3 linked regions of the Cricetulus griseus genome follow. The protein of the gene in region 1 interacts with the protein of each later gene in a pairwise test. Links are inferred from orthologs where the notes say so. Each region holds a gene or a part of one and is shown on either strand. Other genes may lie near its edges.

The links.
Region 2: the proteins of Tollip (region 1) and Tom1l1 interact in binary tests that used the Homo sapiens proteins (3 or more experiments, as listed by UniProt). The link is inferred for Cricetulus griseus from reciprocal best matches to the Homo sapiens genes TOLLIP and TOM1L1.
Region 3: the proteins of Tollip (region 1) and Tom1l2 interact in binary tests that used the Homo sapiens proteins (3 or more experiments, as listed by UniProt). The link is inferred for Cricetulus griseus from reciprocal best matches to the Homo sapiens genes TOLLIP and TOM1L2.

Annotation. Positions count from the first base shown.
Region 1 is NC_048596.1:59,283,327-59,287,668, forward strand, and holds the start of Tollip (toll-interacting protein), read left to right. Parts: upstream 1-1,456; 5' UTR 1,457-1,583; coding exon 1,584-1,616; intron 1,617-4,342. UniProt on the Homo sapiens protein: Component of the signaling pathway of IL-1 and Toll-like receptors. Inhibits cell activation by microbial products. Recruits IRAK1 to the IL-1 receptor complex. Inhibits IRAK1 phosphorylation and kinase activity.
Region 2 is NC_048600.1:103,766,713-103,770,316, forward strand, and holds part of Tom1l1 (TOM1-like protein 1), read right to left. Parts: intron 983-3,604; coding exon 849-982; intron 1-848. UniProt on the Homo sapiens protein: Probable adapter protein involved in signaling pathways. Interacts with the SH2 and SH3 domains of various signaling proteins when it is phosphorylated. May promote FYN activation, possibly by disrupting intramolecular SH3-dependent interactions.
Region 3 is NC_048600.1:74,480,296-74,484,654, forward strand, and holds the start of Tom1l2 (TOM1-like protein 2), read right to left. Parts: upstream 2,842-4,359; 5' UTR 2,749-2,841; coding exon 2,697-2,748; intron 1-2,696. UniProt on the Homo sapiens protein: Acts as a MYO6/Myosin VI adapter protein that targets myosin VI to endocytic structures. May also play a role in recruiting clathrin to endosomes. May regulate growth factor-induced mitogenic signaling.

The sequences.
Region 1 (4,342 bases):
GTAACCTAGTCAAATTCTATCACAGCCCACATACACCAGAACTTCTGCTATCTACAGCAAATCTAGTAGAAACAAGGTTATGTACCATGTGACCACCACCAGAGAGCAAATGCTGTGATTCTGCTTTGACAGACTATGCCACTTGAACAGACTTTGGGGACTTACTGGGGAATTTTATGTGATAAAGTTTTTCCTCAGTAACAATTCTCCCTGGTTTTGTTGCTTGTTTTGTTTGTTTGTTTACCTCTTTAATATTGAGGGATTTGGGAATCCATTAAAGGGCATATGTGTGAACATCTCAAACCCAATCATTTTTAGCAGGTCTTAGTCACAAGAAGTTCCTAGTCTGCTGTCCAGATACAATCTTACACAACTTGCAGGATGCCCGGTGCATTTTTAGACACAATTCAGAGGTTTTGTCTATAACCAAGGGGAAAGGATTGTATAGGGATGTGAACCCCAGGAAGGGATCATGGGTCTCTTATAAATTGTCTGCCATATTGGGTGTCGAGTCTTATGTCCTGGTCTGCCTTAGCTTCATCAGCTGCAGACCAGTGAGAACTGGATAGACAGCTGCATCCAGGGACAGAGCCCAGATGCAGTCCCATGTGCTATCAAGGCAGAGACTGGTAATGGAGGTAGAAGATGAGGTCTTAGAGATGAAGGGAACACAATAGAACACAGTGTGAGTGAAGAAATGTACTAGGAGTACATTTGGTGCTGGGCAGTACCAAGTCTACTGCAGCACAAGCGAAAGAGATCTGCAGATCTGGGGCCACCACAGGATAAACTTAAAGGAACTACATTGAGTCTATCTGGCCAAAGGTCCTTCTGAAGAGAGCGCTCTGAAGAGGCAAGAGTGGGTGGCCTGGGTTTCCTAGGGACATCTCTTCCATTCATTTGGCAAATTCAAGGCTGGTGGAAGTGTTCCAGCCCACTCTTGCCTCTCCTTCAGCTTGGCTTCTTTTTTTAACATTTAAATATAAATGTTCTTCCTCCCACAGCATTTTGAAGTAATTCAAGGGCTTGAGGGTAACTGGTTTTACTGCCATCTGCTTTCTCCTCAAGCTGCCAAACATCAGTTTTCTCCTTTCTTCAAGCGGATCAGGCACCTTGCAGGTGGTGGTCTCCTAGCTATCTCCAGCCAGGTGACTGGACGTTGTGACGACTTGACGGAGTTGAGATAAACATCCATGTTTCGGGTGCCTGGTCCTGGGTCAACAGACTGGCTCACGCCGAGAAACACTCAGGTTTAGGCATGCGCAGACAGCCTGGCAGCCATTTTAAGGGCTTACCGTACTACAGGAGTGACCACCGCGCAGGCGTACACGGGAGACTTAACCCGCCCTCACCCCAGCCCTTTGCACGCATGCGCGGATTAGCCGGAAGGGGCGGGATTAGCCATTGCGAAGCGGCTGCGCCTTGGGAATGCCGGGGTGGGGCGGGGCGGGGTGACTGTCAGCTGACTGAGGCGCAGATTGCCTCGCGGGACAACGGTCGGCGACGCAGGTTGAGGTGGGGGCGGAAGAACTCTCCCGGCGGGTCTCTGTGCGGTCGGTGAGGCACAGGGTCGCCGTAACATCATGGCGACCACCGTCAGCACGCAGCGCGGGCCGGTGAGTCCACTGGGCGAGGGCCGGACTGGGGCAACGCAGCCTGAGATCGGGCTCCTCTTGTCAGCCCCTCGTGGGGCCCCTCGCGAGTTGCTCGGCCGTCCCGGAGCTGTGCGGGTCCCACCTTCGGGTACCCAAACGGAGTAGCGACTCTGGTCCTGAGGGTCTCGCGGGTGGAAGAAGGCAGAGCTTGATGGTTCTTTGGATGCCCACGGGCCCTGAAACCCCTGAATCCCTAGAGGGGCCCTGAATCCCTTAGTCCTCCACACAGAGGAACGTGACCCCATTGGTTCCCCATACTGAGAGGGACCCCGACTCCCCTTAGTTCCCCGGGTGGAAAAAGGGTCCCGAACCCCTTACTTCCCCAGATGTATACCAACCCCTTGGTCTCTCAGATGGACATGGGCCCTGACGCTTGGTTCCCCAAATGGAGAGTGGTCCTGACCCTGTTAATTTCCCAAACTGATAGTCTTGGCTCCCATGATCTCTCAGAGGAGTGGGGCCTGACACTCCTCTGATGTTTCAGAGATGGTGAAAGATCCCACTTTGTAATCAGCTCTTAGTTGTGTCAGTTTCTTCCTCTCCCTGCTCCTATAGAGAACAGGGTTGCTACCTCTTGAGCCCGGTTAGTGGCTACCTTTCCAAGTCTCAGTTGTTCATCTATAAATGAGGAGAAGGGAGCAGAAAACGTGGAAAACCAACAGTGATGGCTCCTAAGGGTTGTCTTGGGGTCCACAACACTACCTGTCTCTCCTACCTCTAGTGTGGATGTCCTCCCAGTAGTTCTCTGAGACTGATATGAGTTGGATGTTGTTAGCTAACAGTGGTTATGTGTGTAGAACACAGTTCTGATGGCTCCATTGTCTTTTCCCTGAAGTTATTGAAAGTGTCTGCAAAGCCTTTGGTTTCCCAGGTCCCTCACCCTGACAGCTTGGTGTTGACAGGTGTGTGTGTGTGTGTGTGTGTGTGTGTGTGTGTGTGTGTGTGTGTGTAACAGATAAATCATTGGGGTAGATGACTGATTTTCTGACTTTGAAGAAAGCCCCAGGCAGGGTGCTTTTTTGGAGGGCTTTAAAGCCAGACTTCCTGACCAGAGTTGGGGTTACCTTCATGTTCAGCAACCCTTCTTCATCCTCACTGTGTCTCACCAAACTACAGAAGATTGCTAGTGGCTGACAGAAGAGGAAGGGAGCCAGTACTTTGCTCTTTTCCTATCTCCTGCCAAGTGGACACAGGGCCAGGCAGAGTGGACCGTTCCTTACTGTGTGTCTGAGAGTGCCTTTACTTCTGTGGCTGGACTGCATTTGAATTCATCTGATGGTGAGCTTAATGTCCGTCATTAATTGAGTAAGAAGGTGTCCTCCCGTGTTGCTGAGGGAAACTCTGGTGCTGTGTGTATAGAGCTGGGGTAACCCACGCTGTGATGAGTAATTGGGAGTGTCGGGTGACATTCATACTAGCGCAATCTGTGGAGTCAAGTCCTGACGCTTGATCTTTCTACTTGCCCAGTGTTCTAGGGACCACAGAGTCTTATAAATAAACATAGACAGCTGAATGGTTTTTTAGGAGCACTCTTGATGACTTGTAATATTGTGTCTGGACTCTAAGAAATTGTCATCAGTGACAGATATCTTAGACTTTGCTTGGGATGTATTATTGGCCACAGTATTTAGAGCAATTGGACACTGAGTCAAAAGTGTGGAGCACAGGGACACAGCTATGCATGGTGACCCATATAAAGCCAGAAAATAACAGTCACCATCAGGTCTGTGCTCTTAATCATTGAAAACAGAAAGGTATGGACTTGGTGTGGGAGGAGTGAATGGGTTATGGCCAGGGTCTCTTAAAGACTAGAAGATCTTGAACTTGATCTGGTAAGTGCTGTTTCTTAGAGTGCATGCCTTTTACAGTTTTCAGCTTTTCACTGGCTGCTTCACCTAGAATGATCTACCTATATGCCTCTGGATTCATTAATATTTGCAAAGGTTTTTTTAGCCAGTTGTCAGGGTCTAGTAGAACTGTCAAGAGTGTGGTAGTTCTTCCCTACTATTCATGTCATACTCAGGGTTGTGGAGCTGTAAAGATAAACAGAAGTACACATTTGGTCAGTACTGGGTACTATTGGCAGCCTTCTTTTTGTAACCGCAGCAGGGGGTTAGGCTATGGTTCAGAGTCCCCTTCCCAGGAGCCTGGACTAGGCTTGGGCAGTTGTCTCTATAGCTGACCTTCACCTCTGATGAGTGGGGAAGGACTGACAGTGTCTTGGGAGGCTATAGAAGGCTGAGGACACTCTCATCTGGGCTAGGAGGGTTCTCTATTCTTGGTTGAGGGTTTGGGATGGGGCAAGTATGAGGAGGAGAGCCAGAACCCACATAATTGTGAAGGAATAAGTTTTTCCCTGGGACATTTGGTATTTTACGTTTTTTTTTTGTGTTTTGTTTTTTTTGTTTTGTTTTGTTTTGTTTTGTTTAATAGCCACTATAGGGCACTACAATCTTTCATAGCCATCTCACTTTTGAAAATACTGGTATTTTGAAATTACCCCTTTTGCTACCCAGTCTGCACACCTGCTCCTTTCCTACAGTAGTGGTTTTTTTTTTTTTTTTTTTTTTGCGGGGGGTGGGGTGGGGGGGTGGGGGGGTCCGAGACAGGGTTTCTCTGTAGCTTTAGAGCATGTCCTGGAACTCGATCTGTAGACCAAGCTGGCCTGGAACTCACAGAGATCTGCC
Region 2 (3,604 bases), on another chromosome or scaffold:
ACGGGGCTCACTGCCATGTTTTCTTACAAAAACTTGCCGTCCCTAAGAGGCAGTGAATGTGAGACTGTAAAGGAGAAAGGAACCACCACAGTACAGCTGCTGGCTTTCTCTTCCTGATTCTCTTGCCTCAGTGTTGGCACGGGGGAGAAAAAGAGTGAAAACCTTTGTGATTTTTAAAGTCTAAATGGAACATGAATGAGGATGGAAAAATGGTGATTCAGTGTGGGAAATATCAGGAGTATAATTCAGTGATAGAGCACTAGACTACCAGGACAGAGTCCCAAGTTCAATCCTAGCATCACACACAAAAATGTAATGAGTGTCAATATGCCACTGTGTTATTTGTTTGTAATATGCATTATCTCATTTACCCCTGAAAAATAAAATCAGCCCCTCCAAAGATAGAATTTTTGTGTTTTTTGTTTTGTTTTATGGGTTTTTTTGGGGGGGAAGGCTTCAGAATGTTAGGCAACTTATCTATTTTATTTCACATCATCTAGATTTGAGTTTAGGCCTGCTCACCTCTTTCTTATGCCACTCACCTCATTCTTCATTTGCTGGTTAGAAATGTAGCCACTGTACAATGAAATAGCCCTAGTAATTCTCAACAGTAACAGTACCTTCCCAAGGCTGTCTGTTGAGTCACCTCAACTCAGAGGAGCATCTCTGGCATTTGGGGGAGGAGCAGTGGCCACACAAAAGAACACTAGTCTATTCACCATGCCACTCCTATTGAGAAAAAAAGATCTAGAAAGACTATTCTCTTGTGGGTTCTCCAGACGGAATGAGGGCCCTATGGTGGTGAAACTACATTGAGAAGAGGGTGAAAGGGCACATTGTCTGCTCACCTCTCATATCCAAGGATGGCATTATTCAGATCCTCATTCACTTGAATTAGCTCAACAGTTACGTCTTCATTTTCCACTACCACCAGCAGGTCCATGATCCTCTCCTGCATCTCCCGACCAGTCTTGTAAAGTTTCTGTCAGAAAAAAGGAGGTTTCTTTTTCCATACTATGGATGCTCTTTATAAAAACAACTGACACTACATGCACCTGTGGTTGTCATGGGAATTCTGTCACCGATCTGCTTGTGAATTAAGAGGTGATGTTTGGTCCAAGAGGCTGGGTTCTCATTGGGAATGGACTTATCCTAGGTACGGGTGGCCCCACCCCTTTTTGGAGCAAGGAGCAAGTGGAGGCCAGTAGCTTGCAACTCTGTTCAGGTTCCCCATTTATTCTTTAATATTTGTGCACAGATCTTACACTTTAATAAATGATAAAAATAATTCTTTAACATGTGGTCACTTCCGTGCTGTCATCCAGCGACCATCAAGTTTTTCAAATGTGGACAGTTCATCCTGCCCGTCAGAGGGCAGTGAAAGGAGATGGATAATTTTTCTCTAAAACAACAATGTGGTACCCTGAAATGCTGTATGGAAATTCTAGAAGCCCAGCTTAATAACTGAGCTATTTGGGGGAAAAAAAAATCACTTGTTTTATAAATTTTAGTTTTCTCATTATAAATGAAAAATAACCACTTGTCACATTTACCTCCAGAGCGGGTGTGAAAATCAAATGAGATGCTGAGACCGGGAGCTTTGTAACTACAAAGCATAAACATGAAATGTTGTTGTCATTATTAGTGATGGTGGAAGTAGTTAAGAAGCATTTACAGCACGGGGGCATAATTTTACTTCCTGTTACATGTACTTAAGCCTTTAAAGTTTATGGCTACATCACATTCAATATAAACTGAACCAGGATTTAAAAACTCATCATGGATAATGACCTTATTTGGACTACTTAAAATCACTGCCTTGAGCTAAGACATTACCCCACAGCTAGCTTTTTCTCATAAGTATCAGAGCCATCAATAGAACACTTAACCGCCTCAGCAGCCCCAAGAATTAGTCTGGGGAATCTACATTTTTCTTAACAAGCACCGCCAAAGTGTTTCTTAAGTATCCTGACATTTGAAATCTGCTGCCTTGCAACTGACTTCCTTCTAGCAAAGCTCCAATAAACCCAAGGTGCATAGGCTGATATTAGCATCTTCTCCATCCATCTTGGCTGCATTCTCCCGTGCATTAGCACAGCAGCAGGCAAAGATGCAGGGCTATCTCTGCTCTCACAGCAAGAGCATGAGAACTTGCTTACACCTCACGTAATTACACAATCTGACTTCTCAAGAAAGTTGCTCCCCCCAAAAAATATGTATGCTTCATTAAACCGTTTAGAATCTCAAATAGTCTATTACAAGACTGCTGATAGGAAATCCAGATATAAATAAGTTACACTATTACTAACTGGCATTTAGACTCCTATGTAGCAGTTATCACCTCTGCAAAAACATACAAATTTTTTAAGATAAAATGAAATAAAAAGGAAAGGTGAGGGGCTGGAGGGAGGGGGTAACAGGTAGGTGGTAGATGAATTATTCCCACAATGTCAAGCCAGATAAATTGTCTTATTTGTTAATGATCTGATTGCTGTTCATGTGCAGTACAGGGGCTCAATTTGTTTTTAAAGCCCCAGATCTGAAATATTTTATGCTTTTAAGGCCATCTAGTGTGAGGCAACTTACTCAGCTCTGCACTGTAATATGAAAAGAAGCCAGGAAAGGAAGTCCCAAAGTAGGTGTGGCTGGTGGTAAGACAGGCAAAGAGATAAGACTTTGGACTCACTAGGCCAAAGGAAATGATGTGTTTGAAGACCTACAAAGCCTAGTATACAGCAGGGTGTCAATAAATACATTACCATTGCTTGAAGAGGGGTCACTAAGAGATTCCCTAGATAATGAATATGATCTGTAACACTTACACTATTGCTTAGGACCCAATATCACCAAAATAAGACTCCATAGCATCTAGTAGACCTCCCTCTCCCCCAATAATGAATGAGAGATATTCTTTTATTCTTTCTTCTGATGGTGCAGAAAATTTTCCTCTTGTTGCTCACAGGAAGCCTTGCTAGCATAAGGTCAAAAATCAAGCAATGCAATGGTGCTAGATGCCCAAGACAAAAAATGTAGACATTAATTGAAATGAATTTGCAGCCAGCATCAACAGCCCCAGTCATGTGAAGACCCTCCCTTTGCCCTTTGGAGAGACAGATGGAGAGGAAACATGAAAGGAACACCACATCTCAGCGGGCTTACAAAGCAGAATGTGAAAAAACTCTTCAAAAGCCAGCCCACTCTGATCTTTGCAATTGATGTCTGTCTCAGAGGACCGCCATGCCACCTGCAAACAGCATAGATCAAGCACTGAAGACAAAAAAAAAGTGTGTCTGGTGGGGGAGGGAGGGCGCAGAGTGCTGCACACAGACACTTGTGGAGCTCCGGATGCAGGATGCAGGGAGTGGAAAGAGAGCGACAGGAGTTAGTGGATGTGTCCATCACAGACCCGGGAATTGTCTCTCTATTGTAGACGGGCTTCTAAGCTACAGTGAAGTTTAACAATTCCAAAGACTCTGAAGCACAACAAAGAGGCTCATTAAGAGCTTTCTTTTACCCAACTGGCTCTTGTATTTCCACGGGACACTTAGGAATTACGAAAAGAGATCCCTTTTCAGGTTCAGCACCAACTACAGCCAGCCCACAT
Region 3 (4,359 bases), on another chromosome or scaffold:
CATGTGGACACTGGGAACTGAACTTGTGGCTTCTGCAAGTGCAAAACATGCTCTTAATAAGAACCATCTATCTAGCCCCTCAAGTGTCTTTCATAAGCAACAGTGGACCTAAGGCCTGGGAGGGTATTTTCCTCCCCAGGTCATAAACCAGTCCCATCGAATGGCCTCTTCTGATAGAAAACACAACCCAGACTTAATTATTATGATGTGAACACAAAGATGGCTCAAGTTACTGAGTCTCTACAATGTTCCAGATTAGATACCAATGGCTGGTAGGCATCATCCCCTTCAAACCGCAGCACTCTAAACACAAGTCTCTCCCCACCCTCCCCTAGTCTTTGCTCAGCAGGCAGTCACACTAGGGCTCAGGTTCTAAAGCCAAGGTCATTCAACCCAGGTCACATCTAACACATTTATTTATTTATTTATTTATTTATTTATTTATTTATTTATGGCCACTCAAATACCCCTATACCCCTTATTTCTTCTTTTGATATGCTGCCCTTTATACCTTCCTGGTTCCTTCCCCTAACTCTACAAAACCCTCAAGTTCACTGAGTTGAACTCAACACTAAATTGAGACATGAGTTTGGACAGCAGTGAAATAACACTTAAAAACAGGGACAAAACAAGATCCTAGCACCCTCACCAGCCAGATCACAAATGCCTGTAATTTTGCTCTCAGGGATCCAATGTCTTCCTTCACAGGCACACACAAACACATACATGTATGTATACACTCACACAGATACATGCACACATATACATAAATAAAACAAAATATTTTCAAAAAGAGAGGGGATTCTGGAGAAATGATTCAGTGGTTAAGAGCACTTGCTGCTCTTCCAGAGGACCCAGGTTTTATTCCTGGAACTCACACGGAAACTCAGAATGTCTTTAACTCCAGTTCCAGGGGATCCTACACCCTCTTCTGGCCTCTGCAGGCACAAGGCACACAAGTGGTGTCTAGACATACATGAAGACAAAACAAACACATAAAATTGAAAAAAAATAAAGTGATACTGGAGTGAGCATCAGAGAACAACGTGTCATAGAAGTGGGAAAAGACTTTCAGGTCCCAGTATCCATGATCATTTATAAAAGACACTGTACCAAGAAGAAACAAAATGTCCCTAAAATGCCATGCAACCAACACAAGAAGCCTCAGTAAGTTCACAGGCCCCTCTAAAGTTTGAAAAGTAGGCTATAAATTCATATGCAAAGCAGAAAATAAGCAGATCTTCACTGCCCGGACTAGTCTGACCCACAAGGACAGTACAGATCCCTGTTCATACAAGATACTGACCCACTTCTAATGTTTAATTTTTAAACATTTTATGTGTGGGTGTTCTGTTTGCCTGTATGTCTGTGCACCATTTACATGCCATGTATATAAAAGGGGTCAGAAGAGGCAACCAATCCCCTGGAACTGAAATTACACCCAGTTGTGAGCCACAATGCAGCTACTGGGAATTGAACCTGGATCAACAGCCAGTGCTCTTAACTAGTGAGCCAGCACTCTGGCACTGAAACATAGTTTTAAAAGACATTAATCAGCATTTTTGACTGATCCCTTGGCATAAGTTCCTGCCTTGGGTGAAAAGCCAAATTGCTTGTTTATTATTATTACTTGCAATGCTGGAGATCAAATCTAGGATTTTGTGTGTGCTTAGCTAGCTCTACCACTGAACTATGCCCCAGTCTGCACGTAGCTTTTTCAATAAGGAAACTTCACAGCGGCTGCTTTGCTTGTGCTTTTCCATATGTGGCATGCTGCCCATCTCTGGCTCCTTATAGTATTGACAGGTGACCTGAGTGCTGTACTACCAGCAAGATTTCAGTCTTGCCAATTTAATATAGTGGGGGAACAAGAGTCAATGTCAGGAACACTGACTATCAACAAGGAAGGTTAAAAACTTGATAACTTGGAAAGTCCCACTACATCTTATCCCTAAACACCTCGTGTGACAAACGAGAACGATGTCAAGGAGAGTCCCGAGCGAAGTCACTATTGGAGTCCAAGTTTCCGGGTTCCAGAGCAGTGTTTATCAACAAGCAGCACGTCCGGCCTCCCTTCTTTCCTAGGAGGCTCTGCAGACATGCCATCCCACTGCCGAGACAGTCACCTTACCGGAGCGCCTCCCCCATTCCAGTCCCTCCTACAGCCTGGCTGAGTTGCAGCTCAAATTAGAAGTCGTGCAGCATGGGACATTTGCTGGGAAGTTGCCCAGCCTCAGAGCCATTGGTACCATTGAGTAGGGACGGGGATGGAAGAAAGAAGTGACATTCCACAAAGACTCTGGGAGAAAGGTGCCCTGAGAGCAGATGCGGCGAGATGCCTGGAGAAGACTGCTCGCAGTGACATCTCCCAATACGCAAGGGTAGGCAGTCCAGCATGGGCACTGCTTCTAGGGAGAGACTTGGAAAGGTTGGGCCTTGATGGGTAGGGATGCAGGGTGCCTCTCAGAATCCAAGTTGCACCTCAGGGGAGCCTCCTGGCAGGGTGAGGTAGCACCAGCGTCAGGCAAAGGCCTCGTGACAAGGATGCCCGGTCCACCTTTGAGATGACACCACTTATTGGCAGAGGCCCAACCCGCACGTGAAGTGGTATCTGTGCCGGGAGGAGGCCCCGGACCTCACCAGCCCGGCCAGCCGCTCTGTGGCTCACTCGACGCCTGCCCCACGCGCGGCCTTACCAAGACACTGCCCTACAGGGGTGCTGAACGGATTCCCCAGCAGGAACTCCATCTCTGCAGGCCTCGTTCCGGCCCGGATGCCTGTATGCCGCGGGTCTCCACTGCCCGCGCCGCGCTCGCCCTGACTGACACTTGCCCCCGCCCCACCCTCGGGAACGCCGAGCGCCTGCCTGACCTCGCCCTCTGGGTGCATCCCTATTGGGCAGCGTCTACTCAGCCAGCCTCCGATTGGACGGCACGCCACTCTCAGTGAAGTCCCACCCACCCCGCAGCGTCCGATTGGGCACCAAGCAAGCTAAGTCATTGGGGTCCCCGTCAGCCTAGTGGCACAACCCCCCTGGACCCGCCTCCAAACGAGCGGCCCTTCATTTTGATTCATTACCCTGTTAGTCAGTCTAGAGAATCCTTACTATGATTGGATAAAAGGCGTGTCAATTATCCGAGTAAAGAAAGAGTAACTAGAAGTTGCGGTGCATTGACGGTGCTGATTGGTGAGAGGTTTGTTTTCTTCAAGGCTGGTTGGTGTTAGAAGCGTTTCGCCGCCCAGAAATGCGGTCACGTGACACATCAACTTTCACCCAGGATATTTATTGCTGGACTTCCCCTTAGCGACCGAGTGGCGGTGCTTGGTTACCTAGCAACCAAGCGACGCGTCCACTTGAAGGAGGGTCCTTAGGAAGGTAAGAAGCATGAGGTTAAACTCCAGAAAGACTCCAAGAGCAGAGGTTGATTCAAATCTGTCTTGAAACTCTTCTGTAAGGACTCCCAACCTGACCCTTTCTCATTTGTAAAATGAGCGCACACGTCATTTTACACTTGTTCTGAGATTACCAGGCCTTTGGAGAAGAAAATTGAGTATAGATCCCAAAGCCCGCAAAAGCTAGTAGGAACAGGATCCATCTGCCAGTTTCCTGGACTGATTAGTTTCATAGAAAGAGAGGTACCCTTTCCTCTTGATCTGCAATAAGTTACTTCATTTGGTGCTGTATGAAGCGCTTGGGAAGGGAATACAGATACTAGGGTTCCGTATCAGTCTCTATCAGTAATTCACTGTACGACCTCCCAGCCCCACCCCCCACCCCAGGCTGGGAAGTAAGAGCACTAAGGCACCCTTTTTAATAGCTCATAGAGCTGACATGTAACACTTAGTTACATAGCAAATACAGTGGCAAATACAGTGTTTCAGGTCCAGTTGACCCAGGTTGTTGTTTCTCAGGAAAGCCTGGATTTTTTCCGCAGTGGAGAGGCTACCTGGTTGATTTGTAAGTAAAGCTTTCCACTTCTTCTCCACATCCTACCTCTGGTCTTCACCAAGGACACCATCAGGCAAGTCAACCAGCACCCACTTGTATAAATTATTGATATAATCCCCACAGGGGAGGATTCCTTGGGCCTTGGCCTGAGAAGAACAGTTGGAAACATGAGCTGTGATAATGGTTGTTCCTAGTATGCTGTTACAATAGAGTCATGATTAGAAAATTGAGTTCTACTATAGACAAGAGGTAAATCTTTGGTGAATCTACATATTGGTCAATCTAGAAAAGCTTGATGTTACAAAGATCCCTACTCTGTGTTGTTGATGTTTTACTCCTTGGCTCTTTTACTCTTTGCTCTTTTGGGGGGGCACCACCCAGCTCCCAAATAAATCACACACGGAGGCTTA